Canis lupus familiaris: one gene and its partners. The protein of the gene in region 3 purifies or fractionates together with the protein of the main gene of each other region. This does not show direct contact. Links are inferred from orthologs where the notes say so. Each region holds a gene or a part of one and is shown on either strand. Other genes may lie near its edges.

Region 1 (7,095 bases), on a different chromosome or scaffold from region 3:
GCTCTCCAGAGATAAATACTGGTGGCTCAGTCAGGAGGAAAAAAAAAAGATTAAAAAAACCCAACCCCTCCTCAAAAACAAGACCCCCCTTTCAAAGTAGAAGGCGCTACATGAGAGTAACCAGCCAATACTGTGTCAGAGGCCGCTGCACGTGAAGGGGAGAGAGAAACTGAGGGTGGGGGTGGGGGGAAGAAGGAAAAGGAAGAAGGAATGAAGGAGGGAGGGAGGGCAGGCAGGCAGGAAATAAAGAAGGAAGGAAAGAAGGAAGGAAGGGAGGGAGGGAGGGAAGGATGAAAGGACAGGAAAGGGAGTGGGGGAGGCCAGGCAGGAGGAATGGACTCTGCCCATGGCTTCCAGGTCCCTGCGCCAAATGCCTATGGAGGGCAGGGCTGCTCCAGCCCTGGGGCTGAGGGAGGGCCAGGTGGGGCCAGCTGGCATGGTCTGCTAGTGCAAGTAGTCGTCGACTCTGGCAAAGGAACAAGATCCCAGGCCTGCTCGGGCCATGAGCCGTAGACATTCAGATGCCTGACCCAGGGCGAGCATCAGAGGGGGCTGCTTTGGCAGGTTCTGAGACTCTGTGGAGGAGAGACAAGGCCTGGTCACTGCTTTGCCCAGGAGTTGGGCTCAGGGCAAAGTTCCCTTGGGAGCAGAAAGTAGGGGCAGTGGACAGAATCCCTTAAAACACAGTGTTCATATGTCTCTGTGTATGTCCCAACCACCAGCTCATGGCCCCGTAGCCATGCCAGGAACCTAAGGACCTAAGCTCTCTTCAGAGCCATGGGCTGGCCAGGCCCACAGTCATAAGCCCGGGTCTATCATGATGTAGTCAGCCAAGTCAGTTGGGCAGAAGGAGGTCAGGATTTAGGTTCAGCCATGGAAACCCAAGTCCTCTGGGCTACCAGAGATTGCCAGGGCAGAGCTCACTGACCTGATTTGAACAAACATCAGCAATTCCTGGGGAAAGAGTGGAGGGGCCACCTAGGGCACTCATGGACCAGCTTCTGTTTTTGTTAGATCCACTTACCTAAAATGGCGCTGTTAAGGGCAGCACACACAGGCTCCCTCTGGATGGGATCAAGCTGCTGGCCAACAGGGCAGCTCCAGGGGTCTGAGTATGCCAGCAGGCTAAAGGCATCCTAAGGGACAGGGCATTCTTGAGAGGACTGTGGTACATACCACACCCATAAACACCTCCATGGCTCCGGAGGGCATACAGGGCCCATACAGGCCCCATTGAGGGCACCACAAACCCTGAGCATAGGGTCAGAAAGGACTGTGCCCTCTCCAGGACCTAGAGAGGGTTGTGTCTATACTGGATGTCCCGTTTCCCATTGTGGACTTGACTAGAGCCCATTCTGTCCTGTTGCTGCTGCCCCCAAGGCCCTCCCAGGGTTGACCTGCCCCACCCCCATACCAAATGGGGGTCTGCTTTGTGTGAGCACCTGGCTTGTTCTATACCTGCAGCATCTCCGTGTGGGCCAAATTCTTGCCGTACTCCCGGCCCAGCTGCTCACTCAGTGCCTGCAACTCGCGACCGAACAGGATAATCCTTTCTGTGGCAGCCTGGTTGCCCCCACAGAGTTGCCGCCGAGGATGCCCATCATCTGCACCCAGAGCCCAGCAGAGAACAAATCATGAGGGATAAGGAGGAGAGGAGACTGGCGTGGGGACCCCAAAAAGGAGATGGCAATAAGGATCTTGGTGGCACTGCCAGAGGCAAGTTAGGTGGACCATCCATAGCTGAGGTGCTTTCTGTCCACCTAGCATGTGACTGGGAGTCTGGACTCAGCTTCTCTCCTTCCCACTCTGTACAGTGCTCATAAGAATGCCCACTCTCACCAACTCCCTCTAGCCTCAGACGCAGGGGCCCTGCTCTCAGCAGCAGGCCAGGGACCTTCCCGCTTCAAACACCCGTTCCTGACTGACTAAGGCAGCAGTGGACCAGGTCCGTTTAAAGCTTCTCAGGCTGACAAAGCCTGTCCATGCCAATCCCCTCCCAGGGGGCAAAGGCATCTGGACTAAGCTATTACCACCCATGTAACACCATGCTGGGCCATGGTTCTTACCCATGCTGGACTCATCTGTCTGTAGGTCCTCATGTTTGTAGGCGCCATTGACAATGCGTGTAGATACACTCTCCAGCACACCATTGGGGTAATGCTCTGCTTCCATCTCCATCTCACTGTCACTGTGGAGAAAGGTTGAGGTGGGAGTTGGCCACAGGCATGTGGTTAGGCGCAGCCTAGCTAGGCCTCCATTCAGGCTTCAGCCATAGGTTGCTGTAGGGAAAATCAAGGGACCCTAGGAGCATGAAAGGCTTCTTAGGCTCCAACACTTGGTGCCTACTCTGGTATCAGCTATCCCCAGAAACCTGTCACCTGATTTTCACTCTTGTCTCAATGCTGCCTCTGTGGCTTTCCTCTTCCTGGCCTTTGTCTGAGTTGGCACATCCCTTCTACCCATTCCTCCCCCATCCCCAGTGACCAGGGACCCCTGAGAAGTATCTCTAGGCACCAAACTCAGGTCAAGCACTGAGATATGCCTGGGGGCTGCTGAAAGCCACCTGTAGTCTACAGCCTAAAACTTTACTCTGCTGCCCCATCTGTCTGATCTCAAGCCATACCCAGTAAACGCTTCTTCAGTGTAGATCCTAGGGGTTCTGCTAGGCCTGGTCTCCCGTGAGGAGACATCCTCACCCTGGCGTTATCTCAGTCTGGCAGTGTCTCTTGAGAAAGTCAGGGCTGAGGAAAGTGGTAGCTAGGCCACAGGTAGCGCCAGAAGCTGGAGTCAATGCCTGGCCTGGCAAGTCAGTAGCAGCTACTCCAGGCACAGACCAGGGATGGAGGTGGGGGATTTAGAGCATGGGGTGTGGCACTCAAAACAGGCTACAGTGAGCCCAGCTGGCACAGAGGAAGCAGAGCAGGACAGGCACCTGGTCTCCTGGTTACTGGTGCTGCTGCGGGGCTGGGACTTGGTGGAATCTGTTGAGTTGGACTCGGAGTAATTGACAGATGATGGGGATGAGGAGGATGAGGAAGACGAGGAGGAAGAAGAGGAGCTGGGTGCAGGGTATTTACTGTGGTTCTGTTTGCTCTTCGAGGATGCGATGCCATTGCTGCAGCTGGGACTGTCTGCTCCTGGAAACCAGGGGACAGTCAGAAGAGGTGGGGCAGTTTGCCATAATGGGGCCCCAGGAATAACCACAGTGGTTCCATTTCCCTTCCCCCACATCCAACATTGGGCCCTGAGCCAAGCCCAGGGAAGGGCATGTAGGTGGCCTTCCTTCTCCACACCAGTGCTTCCCCGAGCCCTCTGGAGAGTGGCTGACCTGTGTTGTGCATGTGGGAACTACTAGGGCCGTGTCGGGGGCTGAGGCTGGGGGAGCCAGGGTAGCTGTCCTGGGACTTGGGACTTCGGGAGCTCAAGCTGCGGACCTCACTGTCAGTCCCATTCACCATCTCCACAAATTGTCGGCACCTGCAGAGGGAGCAGAGCGGCAATGCTCTGGGCTTGGTCTGGGCCATATGTTCCCACCACCAGCTGAGAGGGGCTGGGCTAGGAGGGAACTGGTGGTGCTCAAAACTTACTTGAGCATGAAGAGCAGGTTAGGGTTATGTTCCAGCAGTCCTGGATAGAAGTGCTGTGTGGTCTCAATGGCCTCACCCACACGGCCCTCCAGCACCAGCTTCTGGATCTCTGCAGAGAGCAAGAGTATGGCAGTGAGTGAAGGGCTGCAGACCTTCTTCACAGCCACATGCCTGCACACTACCAGCCCCAAGCATGGTCTAGCCAACAGTCAGGTGGGCTGGCTCAAAATGGCATGCCTGGTTGAGATGCTCACAGAAGAGGTTGAAGAAAGAACCTGGCCTCCCAGCCCCACAACAGACCCTGGTTTCTGCCAAGTTTCAGGGAGTCCTCAAAGAATGACAGAGGGAAACAGAGGCAGGACTCAATGCAGAGGCAGGAGAACAAATGTGGAGGCCTGCTCCTATGGAGGTCAGACAGCCAGGGCCCCGGGCATGGGGAGGGGCTCTGGCTCTGGGGGCATGATCTGGAGCTGGGCACCCAGGCTGCTTGGTATCCCTAGGTGCTCCTCTTCAGACAGACTTCTCTCCTTTCAGGCCTCACAATGGGGTGGCAATGGGAGCACAATGGTTTCTAGGCCAGGCCCCAAGTCTTGGCAATCTTCAGAGGCTTCAGCATGCTCCCTGCTGGGAGAGGAGGTCACCCTCCTCACACTGGCATCTCTGATGTTGACACCTCTCAGGCCATCAGCATCTTGCTCTTGCTCTGGGGCCTGGTGTATCTTGCTGGGAGCGACTTCTGGGTCTGAGGTTCTCATTTGTAGATCCCAAGTCTGGGATCCCTTTCCATCTGGCTGGCTGGGCGGAGCTTCTCTGGGAGACACGGACACATGCACATACACAGAGACGACAGGTTCAGAGACACAAGCAGGCACACACAGACATACACATCCACACACACCTGCTCTCCTTCACTCTCCTCTTCTCTTCCTATCTCCTCTCTGGGCTCTGTTTCCTCTTTCCCAGCACCCTCTTTCCACAAAAGAGCCCCAAACACATTACAGGCCAGTATAGTTTCCTTTGGCTCCTTCCTTTGGTGGTCTGTAAAACGCAGGACCAGAGGTGGAAGCAGAGAGAGGTGCTACCCCAGCAGCCACTGAGAACCAGCCTTCACCCTGTCTGACTACGTCAATCCTTTCTCTGGCCAGGAACAGACATAACGACTAAAGCTGAGTAAAGGGGAAAGGCAAGACATTGGTTTGCTAAGATGCAAACACATTCTTCCAGAAGACTAGGAGCAGGAGGCTGTTAGAATCCAGGATTCGGGGGAAGGAAAACAGGCACAGAGGAGTGAGAGTCAGCCATGCCGGGCCCCAGCCTGGGCCGGGCCATCAGAGTGTGCAGCAGGGAGGCCGCACTGAGGCACTCATTCCCATGCTGCCGGGCTGTCCGCCTGGGCAGCGCTGTCTTGAAGGAGGGGCAGAAGCAGAGCCTGGGGCTGTACTGGCTGGGCAGGGCCAGAGCCGAATGGACTCCTGACAGGTTACCCGAGGCTGGCACAAGCCAGAGAGCAGAGTTAGGGACAGGTGAGGGAAGGAGGGAGAGGGGAGAGGAGAATCAACCTTACTTTGTCTGTTCTTTATGGATGCTTGTTCTTCCTGAATCGGGGTTTCAGTCATTCGGGCAAAAGCCGTGGCTGTGGCACAATACCCATGATGCACCAGGTAAGATGAGACCATGCTAGAAGAAAGGAAATGCTCAAGGTGACACTCTAGAACTGCATTTCTCACTGATCATCTGATAGGACCAGCTACCTCCCTGTTTGGGCTTCCTGAAACACATCTTGGAGGTGCAACCTCCATAGAACGAGAATAAAGAGGCTATAATAGGGGATCCCTGGGTGGCGCAGCAGTTTGGCGCCTGCCTTTGGCCCAGGGCGCGATCCTGGAGACCCGGGATCGAATCCCACGTCGGGCTCCCGGTGCATGGAGCCTGCTTCTCGCTCTGCCTGTGTCTCTGCCTCATTCTCTCTCTCTCTCTGTGACTATCACAAATAAATAAAAATTAAAAAAAAAAAAAAAAAAAGAGGCTGCAACAAAATAAAAACATCCCCCGGTGCTCATGCAAGTCAGGCTGCGGAGGGGGTAGGCCCCACAGCTGTTCTCATGGCTTGGAGGAGGGGCTGCAGTTTCTCTGGAATATGCTGCCAACAAGTGGGCAAGTACGGTAACAAAAACAGTCGCAGAGGCACATACCGTCTCCTTACAGCAGCGGCTGCCTCCTGTGAACTGTGGCCAAGCCCAGAGATGGCCAAGAGTGTCTCTGAGGCTTCCTGGAGTGGCAGCCAGCCAAGCAGTTTAGGAGCTGCCCAGACAGAAGTGATGTGTGCCATGTGAGTGCCTTCTATAGATAGAGGGGCTCCTCTGCAGACCGTCCCACATGCCCAGCATTAAGCATTCCAGCTCAGCAGGTGAACCTGGCCTTCAGGAGTGCTGGCTCTAGAGGGTGATGGGGAGCTAACCCGTGACCCAAGCTACTCTACCATACACCACAAGTCAGGGGCCCAAGAAGCCAAGATACAGGCAACAACAGGGCCAATAGGAGCACAATCTTCGGGGAATGACCTGGACGAGTGCAACACTCAGTAGCCATTTGATCCCACTCGCAGCTGGCTGAGCGGTGGCACATGTGTGTATATGTGCATACACACCCATGTAGAGCAGAAGGGGGAGCCCTCACATCTGATATGCACAGAAGTGAATCCCTTGGTATAAACATGTGTCCAGTGTCATTACTGTAATTGCCAAACACAAATGTGAAAGGCACAGAAGTTCAGCTGTGTCCCCTCAGGTTTTAAGGAGTAAATGAGATGATACGTAGGGAGTGCCTAGCATAGAGTAAAAAGTCAATGAAATAAACCTCTGATTATGAAATTATGTACTTATCTTACACTCCAGATAATTATAATAACTATGTTATTATAAACACAAGGGCAAACATTTTTGACAAAACATGGTTCAGATGAGTCCACATGCACATCAGGAGCCACTAATATGTACAGTCCAGTGACTCAGTAATTCTACTTCTTGAAAGGACACCAAGAAAATAATCTTAAGTGTGAAAAGCTCTTTACTTAAAAAGGGTTGCCTATACAAGCAAAAGAGAGGAAATAACCTCAACCTCCCACCAAGGGAAGCTGGCCAAGGAGCTTGTGGTAAATTCGTCTCCAAGATAATCCAGCCATTAACAATGTTCATAAAATGAAGTTGCATGAAATCACAGGATACAAGTTATTTGTCAGTCTTGGCAAATACTACATATGAACACACACCAGCACACATATAAACACATATAAGCACACTGTAAGCTGAGAGTATCATTCCCTGCTCAACACAGCTGCGGCAGCTCCACCTCTCCCATTGCCTGTCCCAGCAAGCCTGCTTAGGGACTGGCACCGTACTGACTACTGACTTCCCTCCAAGGAAGAGCTTCTCAGTAGCTCTGAGAGCTGAAAACAAAACAGTGCTGCTCTTCCTGAGAAGGGTCTGGCCACCTAACCTCTGCCTCAGCC
Region 2 (6,919 bases), on a different chromosome or scaffold from region 3:
GAAGCAATGTAAAGCGACAAAAACCTGTCCCCAGTACATAATTAAAAAAATCTAAATTTCAAATCAGCAGAGCTGGTCTACTTCCATGTTGACTATATGCCACAATAGACATGTGAGCTCCTTAAATGCATAGCTAATGTAGGTAGTCTTCCACTGTGGCAAATGCACAGGATCCGATTCCCGATCGAGCCATCAGACCTAGACACTGTGTGGCCTGTCCCATTGCGAGGGCAAGTGGAGGTTGCTTTGGCAGATTGTGGGTTTCTGAGGAAAAAGGATTCAAAATGAAACAGCAGTTAGCAAGACATTTTCTAAAAGCAGGGAAAATACTGCCTTACCTTAAAGATTACTGATACCTACGCTGTTCTTCATGACCTAACTAGCGATGGTAATTTCTAAGCAAATGAGGATTGTGTTGGACATGCTACTCTGGATGATGCGGGTATTGGGTATTCAACTGTTAAGAATTCTTGCAGATTTAGACTTAAAGCTTTAGATACTTAAAGATGTGATTTCTTACCTGCTAATTCAGTGAGGAGTAAGGAATATTTAGTGTTCCTCAACTTGACTAAAGTCAGTTGACTTAACCAGAAAAAGACACCAGGTTTTCAGTAAAAGTTCACTGTTGGATTCTTACCCCTTTTGGGGAGAGGACCCAGCTGAGGCTGTCTCCAAGGCACTTTGGTGAGTGTTACTTGGGTTTCTGGGGGCAAATGGTGTTGGCGGCCATAAGAGGCAACAAGAGCAAAGCCACCCTCTAATCTCGGAGGGAGTTAAATTTATAATTGGTAGATAAAATATTTTAAAAATTGCCAATAAATTAGTTTTCAGGATCATACATACCATACCAGAAATTTGTCAGACAACTGTAGTACAAATGTAGTTAATCACCAAAATCTGTTCTTTGCCATAGATGAAAAAACGAATTACTGGTGAAAGTGGCCAACCACTTAGCAGCTGGTGATCCCTTCTTGGGTAGAGATGTCCACATTTTAAGTTTATGCAGATTCCCAATTTATAACAATTACTAATCAGTCTTGTAGACACAGTTGACAACAAAGGGCAAAAGCCATGACACTGGCTGGTAATGCTCCATGACTAGTTCTACTCTGGATTCCAAGTTTGCAATGTGGCGAGAGAAAGAAAAGTTCCAGAAGGAATGGAGCCCCCACCTCCAAATAAAAAGCAAATTCAGGATTTAAAGGCACAAGAGAAAATAGGATCAAGAATGTAAGAATGACTTAAAAAAAAAGAAAAGAAAAAGAATATAAGAATGAAATAATGCAAAAAAACAAAAAACATACAGATTAGTCAGGAAGTATGGTTTGGAAAGTGGTCCGTGGGTTAGGATTAAGTCCTGGCTATTCTTTGTCAAGATACTTGTTAAAACTTTGATAGTGGTAAGCATTTTTTGCCAAGTCTAATATAAGCAGGACTGGCTTTTACAGTTCTGCCTGGAGTCAGGAACAATTTTTATACACAAAACCATCATAACAATAAAAACTGAAAAGGAAACATCTTTTCAAAAATGTTGCTTGATGCTTTATAGGGAAGTAACCTAGCTCGAAGGTAAGCATCTAAGAGGTACTTTATTATAATTTTCTTGCGGGGAGGGGGGTAGCGGCAGCATGTGGTTTAAGCTAAATCTTTATAATTTTTTTGGATATAGAACTTGTAGGAATTAATGTGACAACTTTAAGCACTAATTAAAGTTGTAAAATATCACGATATTTATAAATGCACATTCACCCACAGCAATTAATCTTGTCATTAATTTTGTAGGAATATATGATTATAAATTTAAGTACTATTTATAGCTGAACCTACATACTACAAAATACATAGCACAGTAAGAATACATATATCTTGCATAAGGGTGCTAAAAAATTTAATACCTAATAACTGAATTCCTTTAAAGAACCCAAGATATAAAAAACTGTCCTAAGAAAACTAGTTCCTCCAGAAATTCTTTCCAGAAGATGTGGTATATATACACAATGGAATATTACTTGGCCACAAAAAAAGAATGGAATCTTGCCATTTGCAAAAATGTGGATGGAGCTAGATAGAGGGTATGCTGCGAAGCAAAATCAGTCATAGAAAGACAAATACCATGTGATCTCACTCTGGAATTTAAGGAAACAGATGAACATATGGGAAGGGGGGAAAAGAAAGGGAAGCAAACCATTAAGACTCTTAAAGATCGAGAGCTGAGGGTGGATGGAGGGAGGTGGGTGAGGGATGGGCATTAAGGAGGGCACTTTCATGATGAGCCCTGGGTGATAAATCACTGAATTCTACTCCTGAAACCAGTATACACCATATGTTAACTAAAATGTAAATGAAAATTTGGAGGAAGATGAGAATAAAAGCAAAGAAATGAAAATTCTTTCCAAGTCGGAGGGATACCTAAATACGAAGCAATTAAGCCTTCATGATTACCTATCACAGTAATTTCAAAAACGCTGTAAGCCAGAATTTGCCCTATAATCCCAGCACTGCTAGTACATTCTATTTTTACCAATCAAGTTAAATGAATCTCATGACCTAAGAATACAACACATTATCCAAAGAAAATTCACATTATTTTTTATTTACAAATTCTAAATTTAAGAAAACACCACAAAAGATGCCTTTAAAAAAAAACAAAACTGTTCTCATTCTAAAACCTCCATTATGTATACTTAATACACAATGAATTAACAGTCGGCCCTTGAGAAGCAGGGGTTTGAACTGCATGGGTCCACTTCCATGTGGGTTTTTAATATCGTTACAGTATCATAGATGTATTTTCCCTTATGGTCGTCTTCCTATCTTTAGGTTTACTATAAGAATAAGGTGTAAAATGCAGGTGACATACAAGATACGTGTTCATCAAGTGCTCATGTTGTTGGCAGGGCTTCCAGCCGAGAGCGGGCTATTAAGTTTTAGGGGAGTCAAAAGTTATATGCAAATTCTTCCAAGGTCAACTGCACTTAACTCTGTAAGAGCAAATAAACGGACTAATAAGGCTCAAATATGAATAGCTGCTTCCTTTACATTCTGGCCCTGAGCCCTGCCCTCTACAGTCTCCCGCTCCCATATCTACAACAGTCTGAAACCTGTTCCTAAAAGCCCCCAAACCCGACAGGCTCAAGTTGCAAGAAAAGACTATTAATGTGGAGTCTCATTTTAGAATCAGATTCTAAAGTCAGGTGAAAAAAATCATTCTTCTTTATAAATTATCTTTGAAAAGAAATTACAAGATAGTTTTACCTAGACAGCCCTGTAGAGTGTGTATGTAAATGCACAGAATGCTGCAGGCTTCATATATGAAGTGTGTTTGTTCGGTAGGTAAGTACGATCATCACAGTCTGTGGCGATCGAGTTGCTGGCGGGAACGGCAACTTCCCGTGCCTCACGCAGGCTCACCTCTGGCCAAGCCTCACTACTGAAACCCTTTCCTTTCTCCTCCATCCTTTTTATTTGCTAAGGGCATCTCGTTGAATATGCTGAACTTTATCACAAATACACTGCTCCTCTGGGGGCTGGTGCCGACCGCATGGCACGCTCACGTCACCTGGAAGTCCTTCTGTCTGCATTTTAAGCACAGTGGGAGCTGCGGGAAGTGTGGTTCAGTCCAGAAATGCTCATATATAACACGCACACAAAAGCCTCTATTCTCCCAACTTCCCAAGGTGGATCCCAAAGTCCTGGGGTTTTTTTGTTTTTGTTTTATTCCATGTGAATCCATTTCATCTGGAACTGAGATCATGGAGGGGAAGGTTTCTGTATTTCAAAATAATTTTAACTTTTAAAATGCTGAAAGCATTACCCCTTAAGATTTTACCAAAATACAGCTCCCAGCGCAAATACCATCTCAAGTATTCAGAGAATCTAGCTGAAGCTGTGCTTTACTCACCTAATATTGCACTGTTAAGAGCTGAGCACACAGGTTCTCTCTGAATTGGGTCAAGCTGATTTCCAACTGGGCTGTTCCAAGGATCCGAATAAGCGAGTAAACTGAATGCATCCTGTTGAAAACATAGTTTGGTTTTTAATTCTAACATTTAAACTACTGTGGTGCCCCTGCGGCTACCAAGTTGAGAGACAAGTAAAATACACAGCTTGGTGGCGTGAGGCTGCTGTAACATTTAAACCCACTTACCCCCTAGGACTCTGAGGCTACATATTCTTTACCAATTAGATGATGCAACAAGGCCGATGCTGCTTTCATTGGTCTTTACTATAAACAGCCATTCTCATTAATCGTCTCCCACCCCTACAACACATATACATCAGCAGAATGAAAAGGAATTCTGGAATGGGCTAAAGAGGAAGACAGAAATATCCAGATGCTAATTTATTACCACTGATCCAAATTTAACACTAAAAGGATAGGGCCTCCCTGTAGATTTTTTTAAAAACAGATGTGGGAACTCGATACATCTCACTGGACGTCCTTTTCTCACTCAGGAATCAAAAATTTCAACTGGTCCCCTTCACAAACATGCAGTAGTCCCCACCATCCTCAAGCCACCCTTCCTAAAGTGACAGATGATCTTTCCAATCAAGGACTCTTTGTCTTCTTTCCACTGAGGTGCCTGTTACAGTTTCAGACGCTGGTTTCCAGTTGAAGCTGCACTGTCAGCTGCGGTGTGGCCTCTGTGAGCAATGGCCTAAGTGTCCGTTTCCTCACGTGTCTACAGAAAAGGCTACTTGAGAACGTCATAAGGACGAACAGCTCAATGAAGTTAGCAACGTCAGTTCACTCTAATCTTTCAACATGTCTTTTTTTTTTTTTTTTTAAGATTTTATTACAGAGAAAGAGAAAGGGCATGGGGAGGGTCAGCGGGAGAGGGAGGAGGAGGCTCCCTGACTGAGCAGGGTGCCCAACGTGGGGCTCGATCCCAGGACCCTGGGATCAGGACCTGAGCCGAAGGCAGACGCTTCACCCACTGAGCCACCAAGGCGCACCCCCCTCCCCCGAGGTGTGTTATTTTGCCAAAAGTCAGAGCCCTAACCTGGAGCAGCAGTCTAGACCCAGAGAGGCAAATCACAGATGCCTTCCCCATTCCGAAGGCACACGTGGAAAAGTGCTGAGGCAGCTGTAGGTCGGTGAGGTAACACTTTCAAAATGCTGATTAGGGACCCATGAAAGGCTGAAATTCCTAGAGCAAAGTATTCCCAGGTGCAGCTGCGTGGACATTCCTCTAACCTACTTCCTACCGTGTGAAAGCAGAGGTGGGGGTAAGGTTTCCAGGCCCGGGGGACTCTGGCCCTTCTCACCCAACCAGCCTGTGTCGGGGAGGTGGGGGTGGGGGTTAGAGGCCCCTAAGGCGCCAGCTGTGCAGCCTGAGGCCACCAGAAGGGAATACACGCCCCCTACACACACGCGCGTGCACACACACACACAGGCAGTTTCCCCGCGTTGAAGGTCTCATCCATGTCAGACAGCTTGGCCCCGTTTTTAGAATGAAAGGTCTCCGAAGAGAAAAATTTACTGCCCTATTTTGAGTGCCCTGCAGCTACTTGTACGTGCCGGGAACAGGGAGGAAGCTTCGCACACCTGCTCATCACAAGATCTGCTTCTTACAGGCACCCTGCAGAGCGACTCGGTTCTGTTTCTGTTTCTGGGTGCCCCCACCCCCGAATTTACTGATGGAGGGAATATTCATGTCCTACCGCCCGGAAGCCGACTCCAATCAGTGGCATGCTTTCTGAGGGACTGATCTCTGCTCAAGACTTGACACCCACAGCCCCGCCCGGGGATCACTCCCACAGAACAGATCTAGTTCTCAGGCATCCTCAAGGACTGCCCAAGGAACGACGGGCACGTAAAAACCTTTAAGCACAAAACTATCCCCGTGGGTCTATAGACGCAGGCACGCTACCAAAAGGAGAAATGCTGCAGTCCCAAACCTCAAATCCAGACCATTCTTCTGTTTACACCTTCTAGTATTTTAAAGAAAAGCTCATGGAAAAAGGCGACGAAGGTAGTCATTTACCCGCATGGATACCGGTGACACTAGTAATTTGTTCTCATGTTTCAATACAATCGAATGTCCGTTGCACGCAGCCGCAGTCACCAGGACCCAGGAGCTCTCAAGGACTCAGACACACTGGGCCTCCGGAGGGTCCGAGCGGTCGCGGCGGGCGAGCGGGGCCACCTGACACCGCAGAGCAAGATCCGGGGCGGCAAGGCCGGGAAGGGAAGGCATGGATGGAGGCAGAGGTAAGGGGGGGTGTCCTAACGGGCCCCTAAATCACACTAAACAGCTTGGATTTGTTTTCCGACGTGGCGGTGGAGCTTTAAATCGAGGACCGATGTGGATAAAACCGGACTTCAGGAGGACGGCGGCAGCGCCGCGGAACCACGCCCCGAGTCAGGTGAGGCTGACCGCAAGACCACCACCACCACCACCTTAAAAGGAGAAAAAAGGGGGGGGCGCCTGGGGGGCTCAGTTGGTTAAGCGGCTGCCTTCAGCTCAGGTCCTGATCCCAGGGTCCTGGGATCGAGTCCTGCATTGGGCTCTCTGTCCCTCCCCCTGCTTGTGCTCGCGCTCTCTCACAGAGAAAATCTTTAAAAAAAAGAAAAGAAAAAGAAAAAAAGGTTTATACCTCCAGGTTCTTCACAAAGAGAATGAAATCGAGGCAGCGACATTAATGCTTTAAATCCCGCAGTAAAACTTAACTGAGGTGGTGACCAAAGAAATGCGAACAAGCAATTTTAAGGTCTGATGTGGAAGCCACTAGTACATCAATGCAGTACAGCCTCTGGCACTTTCCTTTTCTACTGGTGGTGAGCTGCTAGAGTTTCTGGAAAGCAGTGCAGCAGTATACAGCAAAAGCCACAATAATCCTATCCTTTGACTCTTTCTAGGACGCTCTCCCAATGCTGTAATTTTTTTTTTTTTTAAGATTTTACTTATTTATTCAT
Region 3 (7,869 bases):
CTAATCACATGTGGTTACTGAGTACTTGAAATGTGGTCTGTAGAACTGAGGAACTGAATTTCTAATTTTATTTAATTTTAAAAGCTACATACAGTTGGTGATTTACCATACTGAAGAATGCAGGCCAAGATTTAGAAGGTATCAGAAAAGTTGGGACTTGTTACTTGAAGAAAGGGGAGGATTTGAATGGCTTTGGACAAAGAAAGGCATTCCAGGAGAGGAAAAAACATGTGTGAACTATGCTCACTTCACTCTAAAAATGTGAAAGTGTCCAGTCTTTGGGTGGGGGGATTGTGATGGGTTGCTACACTGGGCAGACAATCCAGCTGAGAGTTATGATTTGAAGCTGTAGGTAATGGGGGGGTAATTGGTTCTTTATTTTTTCTTAATTGAGGTATAATTGATATATAACATATTAGTTTCAGGTGTACAACATAGTTTGCTATTTGTATGATTATTTCTGATCAGTGGATAATAACTCTTATGTCGTCAGGCATTATGTTGAATGCTTTAGATAGATTACCTCATTTAATTACTGTAACAACCTTTTGAGGAGAATAAAGATTCATTTGGTGGCACTGTAGGGGTAAGAGAAGCAATTATCTTAGAAATATCTCAAAGCTACAAATGATGAGGATGCAGAAGTAAAAAGCCACATTAGGACATTAGGAAATTAGACTCAATAGAACTTGATGTTTGACTACATGTGGAAGATGAATAAAAAAGGGAGAAGATAATCTGTATCCCTAGGGATACTGATGAGGACAAAATCCTGAGGAACATCAATATTCTGGGAGTGAATGAAGGCAGTTGAATTAGCAAAAGGATCTTGGGAAGGATGGAGATGGGTAGCAATGTAAACAAGTTAGTGGAGTCGAGGCATTTGATAAAGGGTTGAGAGTCCTGCAGGTAAGTTAAAGATGAGGATGGAGGGATACCCAACTTTAGTCGGTGGGGCAAGAGACTCTTGATCTTGGGGTTGAGTTCAAGCCCCATGTTGGGTATAGAAGTTACTCAACAAAAGATAAGGATGGAGAAGTGGTAGCTGTAGCTAGGAGTTAAGGTAATGCTGACAAACATAAGGTAATGCTGACAAAAAACAGAGGAGTCAAAGGGAATAAAGTTGATTTTTTAAAGAAATAATGCACTTTTTTTAGTATGTTGCCTTGGAGGTAATGAGTCCTCTGGATGATGCTGTCTTGGTGGTTGGAGGGAATGTGAAGCTAGAGTTTATGAGGCAGATTATGGCTGGAGAGGGGAAATTGTAATGTGTTGTCCCAGGACAGCAGGTAAAGGAAAAAGAGGTTGAGGATAAAACCTGAGGCAAATACCCACCCACATAGACGGCTAAATGAGCCAGAAAGGGAGAAGGTGTGACTGAATTATTTTACCAGGGCAATGTCAAGGGAGAATTTTACAGGTGAGAGTAAGTCAGAATTTTCTTGTGTAGCGGTGAGCTCGAGGAAAAAAAAAATACTGAGAAAAGAGAGAGCTTATCAAGGAGGTCAGGGAGGAAAAAGTGAAAAGGTTTGTCTGGGCAGTTTAGCAGTGAAGAGTAGAGGAAAAGGAAAGCATTTGAGAAGGGATAAACAAAAACCATCTCTCTCCCAATTCCCCAGGTAGGTCAGTTCCATTCAGTCTCAAAGCAGAAAGGAAGAACCTAGTATATAGGAGGGGAAGGAGGTCTGGAGGAAGGTGAGATGAAGCCAGCAAGTCGAGGCTGGCAACTTAGAAGGTAGAAAAAACTCTCATTCCTTCAAATACTTGACAACAGTTCACAACGGATGGTACAAATACTCTGAGAAGAATGGCAGAGGATGCTGGAGCTGGATGTTTATCTTCTCAGTGAAACAGCAATCGGGACCATCTGCCAAGAAAGAGGAGAAAGAAAATTGGTTTGGTGGAGAGGGGAAAAGAGATTTATAACAGCAATAGCTAGGGCCACTCTTGAAAATCACCAAGAAATGAATAAATTGACTCGAGACTAGATCAACATGATTCCATTTTAGGTTGCCATCTCAGATTTACTTCTGGGAACAGGCAATACTAACCACCACCATTTCTCCTATGGCTATTCCTTGCTTACTATTAATGTTTACATATGATATCTCACTTAATTTCCCAAGAATCCCATGCTGCACTATTAACTGCAGTTATTTCCAAGTTATAAAAAAGGAAATTGAGACTCAACAAGATTTCGCCTTAATTACAAAAAAAAAAAAAAAAAAAAAAAAAGCCCACTATGTTGCTAGGCACCACTTTCGGGCACAGATAAAGATGGGGAAGGGGCTTGCCTTTATGGGGATTTACTGAAGAAGGGCTGGCGGAAAAGGAAACGAAAAATCGAACCCGGTTATTTCAGCTTTTAACAAATGGTGTGAAAGAAAACTGGTGATACGGCTGATATATATACACAAAAAAATATGACACAACACTGGAGGAGTGCAGGAAGGTGGAGCGGTGTACCTATCAGGGTGGTCAGGGGAGGGTCCTCTGAGCGGACAAGTGAACTGAGACAAGGATGAGAAAGGTGTCCGCGTTTTCCAGGCCAACGAGGAGCTAAGCGCAGAGGCCCCGAGGTGATTAACTAATGCGGCTTTCCGAGGAAAGCTAACAACGCCACTGGAGCCTAGTGCGCGAGGGGATACAGGCCGAGGCTGGAGACCCCGCGGCGGTCGGGGAAGGATTGACGCCAAGGAGGAGGTGACTCAGTTCGTATGGATGGAATAAGGCGCCAGAGAGCAGGGGCCAGGCGGGGCCGCCCTCCCGCGCGGCTTTCCACTGCGTGGAGCTGCCCGCACACCGTGCGGCGCGCCGGCTACCGGCTGGGAGAGTCCAAGCCCTGGGGCCGAGGCGCCGAGGCCGACAGCGGGGTGGGCAGCGCGACCTCCCCGCGGCACCAGCGTCGCAGCAGCTCCGACGGCCCCGCTGGGCCCTTCCCCGCGCCCGCCCCGCGCGGCTACCGAGCAGCCCTCCTCGGCCGTGCTCCGGCATCACCCCCGCCCCGCCGGGCTCCGTTTTCCGTCCGACGAGTCCCGTCTTCCCAAACTTCGGAATAACAGTAGTCCCAGGAGTGCGGGTGAGAGGACACAGATGATGACCGGGGCGAACTCCTTTCGAAAACAGACCTTCCCCTCTGTCTCGTTCTCCCTCCTGGCTTTCCCGAAATAACTTGCTTCCCAGTACGCACCCCAAGTCACCCCCCTCCAACAGCGAGACCGTTGGTTCGGCCCCTAGGCTACGATTGGCTGAGGGTTTACGCCTCAGCCAGGGATTGGAGGACGTTGGTCCCTTACGTACCGCCCGCGCCCATTGGTTCTTTTTCCCCGTTTCTGGGCGGAGTGGTTAGGGACGGTTTCCACCCTCTTGTTTACGGAGAGCGCAGTTGTAGCGCTCTGCGAGCGCCGGGGCTGTCTCCAAAGTTCCCTTTTGAGCTCCTCGGGCCAATTGGGTTCTTGCTCCACCCTCGCCCTCTCCCTCGCACGCATCCCGCGTGGTACTGCCCACACCTTTAGAGCGGCGGCGTGAGCGGACGGCCGTCGCGTCCTCCGCCCGCGAACGCTAGGCGGCTCCCCCTCGAGGGTGCGCTTGGTACGGCCCGCGCCGCCTCTTTCCCTTGCTGGGGTGGCTGCTCCCCCCACCCCTCGGGTCGGCGGCGCTTGGTGCCGCCCGGGAGAACCAGGTCATCGGTCGGTTCCCGTGAAAACAAAAACAATCGGCGGCGCCGCCGCGGGCAGCCGAACGCGGCGGGCGAGGACCAGGGTCGCGGGGCCGGGTGCGGAGAGCGAGCGGGATCGGCGGCGAGGCTCCGGGGGCGGGGGGAGGGGGCATGGGGCAGGCGGGCACGGGCTGCACCGGGCTCCCCCGGCGCCGCGGCTAGCGCACCCGCTGCCTCGGTCGCCGCCGCCGCCGCCGCCCGCGCCGCCCGCCTGGGGGACGAGGAGCAGGACGCGGCCTCGGCCGGGCCCGGGCCGAACGGCTGCGGACACCCGGGCGCCGGGGAGCCGAGCGCCGCCGCCGCCGCCGCCTCCGGGATGGATCAATGCGTGACGGTGGAGCGCGAGCTGGAGAAGGTGCTGCACAAGTTCTCGGGCTACGGGCAGCTGTGCGAGCGCGGCCTGGAGGAGCTTATCGACTACACGGGCGGCCTCAAGCACGAGATCCTGCAGAGCCACGGTAGGGCGGCCCGGGTGGGCGCGCGGGGCAGGGCCCGGCCCCTCGGGCCCCGGCGGGCCAGGAGGGATGCCCCTGCCTCCCCCGAGACGCGGAGACCCCTCACCCCACCCCGCGCCCCTGCCCCTGTGACTGTTCCTTCTCCCGATTTGCCTCGAACCTGCCCCGACCTCGTTGTCAATAAAGAGTGAGCGCCCTCCACCCGGAAACCCAGCCCGGAACGGGGTCCAGCCGGCTTAGACGTGTGTGGGGGCTGGTCCGTGGCCCTTGCAAACTGCCACCGTCCCGGGGTGGGCGGCCCTCGCCCCCGCCCGGGCCGGGCGCGCTCAGGTCCCCGCGGTCGAAGGTGCGCTAAGTGCGTTGGACCCAAGGCTCTGGTTGATAAGAGGGTCAGTGCCGGAAGCCCCTTCTTCTGCCCCAGATCCTTGGTCCGGGGACTTACTTTCCAAGTCTTTTTTTTTTTTTTTTTTTTTTTTACCCCTTCTTCTTCTTCTTTCCGTTCTTTTTTTAAATTAGAAAGTCGAGTGTTATTCTTAGCTGTGGGTTAACAGAACAGCCGTTGCTGCAACTTCACGATTTGACTCTTGTGTGGAAGCAGCTCTTAGCTCCGCAGCAGCACAGACAGGATTCCTAGGAAACGAGCCGAATCGAACTGTTCAGCTCTCCTAATGTAGCCTGAGGAAGAACAGGCAACTTTCCTGAAGCAAATTGTGGCGCAAGTTGTGAGATACTTGCCTTACCTGGTCAAGTTTTTACTTGTTTTCCTTTTAGAAAACACGATTTTCTGTAGAAGGTGGTCTGCCTAGATTATTTCTTTATTGCTCTAGGACCTGGGGGCAGATACTTTGCGGAAGTTAACTTGTGGAAGCTGGTTGGGGAGGGTTTTTGGTTTGGGTTTTTGTTTTTTTTTTTTTTAAGTAACATTAAAGGTCTGGTATCCTTAGAGTAACATATTCATAGTGGTGTTCCTCCTGCTCAAGAAATGAAGGACTTTATTTAATGGGTTCATTCAAGAGTTTGGAGGAGCCTTCTCAACTCCTAGCTGAACAGCAATTTATGGAAAGTTTGGTAGCTGGGATGAAATGCTGTTACATAGGGTGAGGTGAAGACAGTGGTGCAGCTGAGCCTCTCCCCTCCTTTCCTCTCCTACGTCTTTCTTTCTAGACTCCTTTCAGTGGAGGGGAAGTGCTAGCCCATAATAAAGGAGTCTGAAAACCTCTTATTCTGAACATGGCAGTCACTTTTGAAGTCCAGATAAGAAGTGAGCCTGCAACCGTAGTGGGAATGGGAGTTAAAATATTAATATGGAAAAATAAGCAGACCAGTTGGCTGCCTGTGAAGGGAAGCCGAGGTGGAGTTGGCTGCCTGTGAAGGGGAAGCCGAGGTGGAGTTGGATGGGGGGTCCTGGGAAGGCTTTGGTGAATTTGATTTGGGGCATGTGAGATAAAGCTGAAGGGCTAGTGAAGACAGAATCAAGAACTTAATGTTCACTGGTGGCTAAAGATGCATGGTTAGAATTGGGGAAAGTATGATCGAAGATGGTTTCCTAGTATTTCTACAGAGAAGAGTGAAGGAGGTCACGTAGGCAGCAGGGAAGAAAGACTGTAGGGTCTAACCACACCTTGAACGCCTCTTGGAGAGAGAGCTGGAGGAGCCAGCAGAAGCAGAAAAGGCAGGAGCTTAGAAAAAGAGAGGTTGTGCAGCTTGTATTTGGCTATTGGAAGTCAGTGACCCTCTGTGCTTGCAGCTTCAAAGAGTTAAAATAAACTAGATTAGTGGGTGTAAAGAAAAATGTGTGAACTGAAGTGTAAGGAGGCCCAAGGCTGTTTAAGTACAGGAATGGGAGGGGTGTGTGCGTGCCTGTGTCCCTCTGTCTCTGTCCACCTTCCTGCCCATCTGTTACAGGAAATCTTTGTCTTGTTAAAGACTGGAAGGTAGAGAATGAGTGAAGGTTCTAAACTTGGAGAGGTGGAAGGAGCGTTTCCTTTTTAGGGACCAGGTCAGAGATTGAGGGGTTGGATAGGCAAAATTTGAGAGAGAAGATGGAAAGTAAAATATCTTCCTACAAAAAAGGAGGGGGGTGGTATTAATTAAAGGGGAATGTGATTGCAAGCCTCATTTTAGGGAATTTGGGGCCTATCTTAGATGGATAAAATAATTGGCAGAAAATGCTGAAGCAGGAGTTTGCTTTAGACAGATTGTTTTTGCTTGGTATTGGAGTTTCGCAAGGAATATATGGTGTGAGGGTATTAGCCACAGAGTATGCCATACTATTCAAATGGTCTGACTTGGTGAATTACATATGTTCCTTTCTCAGCCACCTATTTTTTACTGTCTTGTCTACCAAATTGCAGTTTGATATTACTATTTCTTTGATTTTCTTTAATTTTTTAATAATAGGATTACATGACTAAAGGCAGTTATGAAACACGAAAGAAAAATAAATACCAGGTCTGGTTTCCAAAGTGGACTCTTTTTTTTTTCTTACAGTATTCTTATGTGTGAAGGCAGACATCGTGCTTTGGTATCTAGATTATAGGAATTTTCAAAGCAGGTAATTTCTGATATTCTTTGCTAGTGATGTGGTGTTTATTACATTTGTATCTTAGATATACCCTTCCTAAAGTCATGTCTACTGAAATCTGAATTTGGAACTCCATTTTCAAGTTTGAATATATTTGTCTGGGCAATTGATCTTGTGAGCTCCTATGATCTGAGAGAGGGGCTCCAATTGGGACCATCTGTCTGGGCTTTGGATCTCATTCTCTGGAGTTGTGATAATATTCTTGTAAGAATATGATGTGAATAAAGTAGAATCTTGGGAACCATATAGATCATGGTATCATACTGATGGTGAGTAACTGCCTGATTCAGAAATACCTTTTTAGCTATGGTCAAGGGATTAGTTAAGTTTTTAAGGATGATTTATATTTTCTGATGTTTATACGCTTTTTTTTTTTTTTTAAAGATTTTATTTATTCATGAGAGACACAGAGAGGGAGAGAGGCAGAGACACAAGGCAGAGGGAAAAGCAGACTCCATGCAGGGAGCCCGATGTGGAACTCGATCCCGGGACTCCAAGATCACGCCCTGGGCTGAAGGCAGGGGCCAAACCATTGAGCCACCCAGGGATCCCCTATTTTTCTTATGTTTAAATATCTTTTTTCCAAAGTATGAACAACTGTACTAAATGAGGACAGTTAGAATAGTTTGTGGTGGAAACTGATTTTACTAAATGGGTTATTTAGTAAGTCTGTTGACGACCCTTGTCCACTCTCACCACTTTTATTCCAGATTGTGAATAAAATCTGGCCAAAGGGGGCTCACCTGGCAACTGGCCTACACATAGTCCTGCAGTGAGCCCTAACATTTCTTTCATCTGCTCTAAATTGCCTCTACATAGCCTGAAATTCTTTCATATAAATTTTCTGTAATTAATTATTTTAAAATGCATTTGTCTTCATTCAAATACCTTTTGGGAGAAGAAGGGTGATGTGGATGGTCACTCACACCTGGTGGATTAGTTTGTACTCTGCCATTTAATCTACCCCTAACCAAGTCCAGTCTGGGAAAAGGAAAATCTTTTTTTTTTTTTTTTTAATTTATTTATTTTTAATGGGAATGTGAGGCCTAAGTCAGAGGAGTCCTTTGAGAGTATAAGGCTCTGACAGTTAAGTGCAGGCTTTGGCTAGGTCA

The links. Proteins that work in one complex are often made in the same cells at the same time.
Region 1: the proteins of RMND5A (region 3) and RANBP10 purify together in Homo sapiens (affinity purification with mass spectrometry; 4 studies listed by BioGRID and IntAct, counting the BioPlex papers as one, with this or other methods). This does not show direct contact. The link is inferred for Canis lupus familiaris from reciprocal best matches to the Homo sapiens genes RMND5A and RANBP10.
Region 2: the proteins of RMND5A (region 3) and RANBP9 purify together in Homo sapiens (affinity purification with mass spectrometry; 9 studies listed by BioGRID and IntAct, counting the BioPlex papers as one, with this or other methods). This does not show direct contact. The link is inferred for Canis lupus familiaris from reciprocal best matches to the Homo sapiens genes RMND5A and RANBP9.

Annotation. Positions count from the first base shown.
Region 1 is NC_049226.1:82,311,810-82,318,904, reverse strand, and holds part of RANBP10 (ran-binding protein 10), read right to left. Parts: intron 5,265-7,095; coding exon 5,152-5,264; intron 3,697-5,151; coding exon 3,588-3,696; intron 3,478-3,587; coding exon 3,329-3,477; intron 3,138-3,328; coding exon 2,933-3,137; intron 2,189-2,932; coding exon 2,067-2,188; intron 1,605-2,066; coding exon 1,459-1,604; intron 1,137-1,458; coding exon 1,025-1,136; intron 576-1,024; coding exon 445-575; 3' UTR 1-444. UniProt on the Homo sapiens protein: May act as an adapter protein to couple membrane receptors to intracellular signaling pathways.
Region 2 is NC_049256.1:14,364,866-14,371,784, forward strand, and holds part of RANBP9 (ran-binding protein 9), read right to left. Parts: intron 4,014-6,919; coding exon 3,902-4,013; intron 265-3,901; coding exon 134-264; 3' UTR 1-133. UniProt on the Homo sapiens protein: May act as scaffolding protein, and as adapter protein to couple membrane receptors to intracellular signaling pathways. Acts as a mediator of cell spreading and actin cytoskeleton rearrangement.
Region 3 is NC_049238.1:38,751,580-38,759,448, reverse strand, and holds the start of RMND5A (E3 ubiquitin-protein transferase RMND5A), read left to right. Parts: upstream 1-3,508; 5' UTR 3,509-4,034; coding exon 4,035-4,176; intron 4,177-7,869.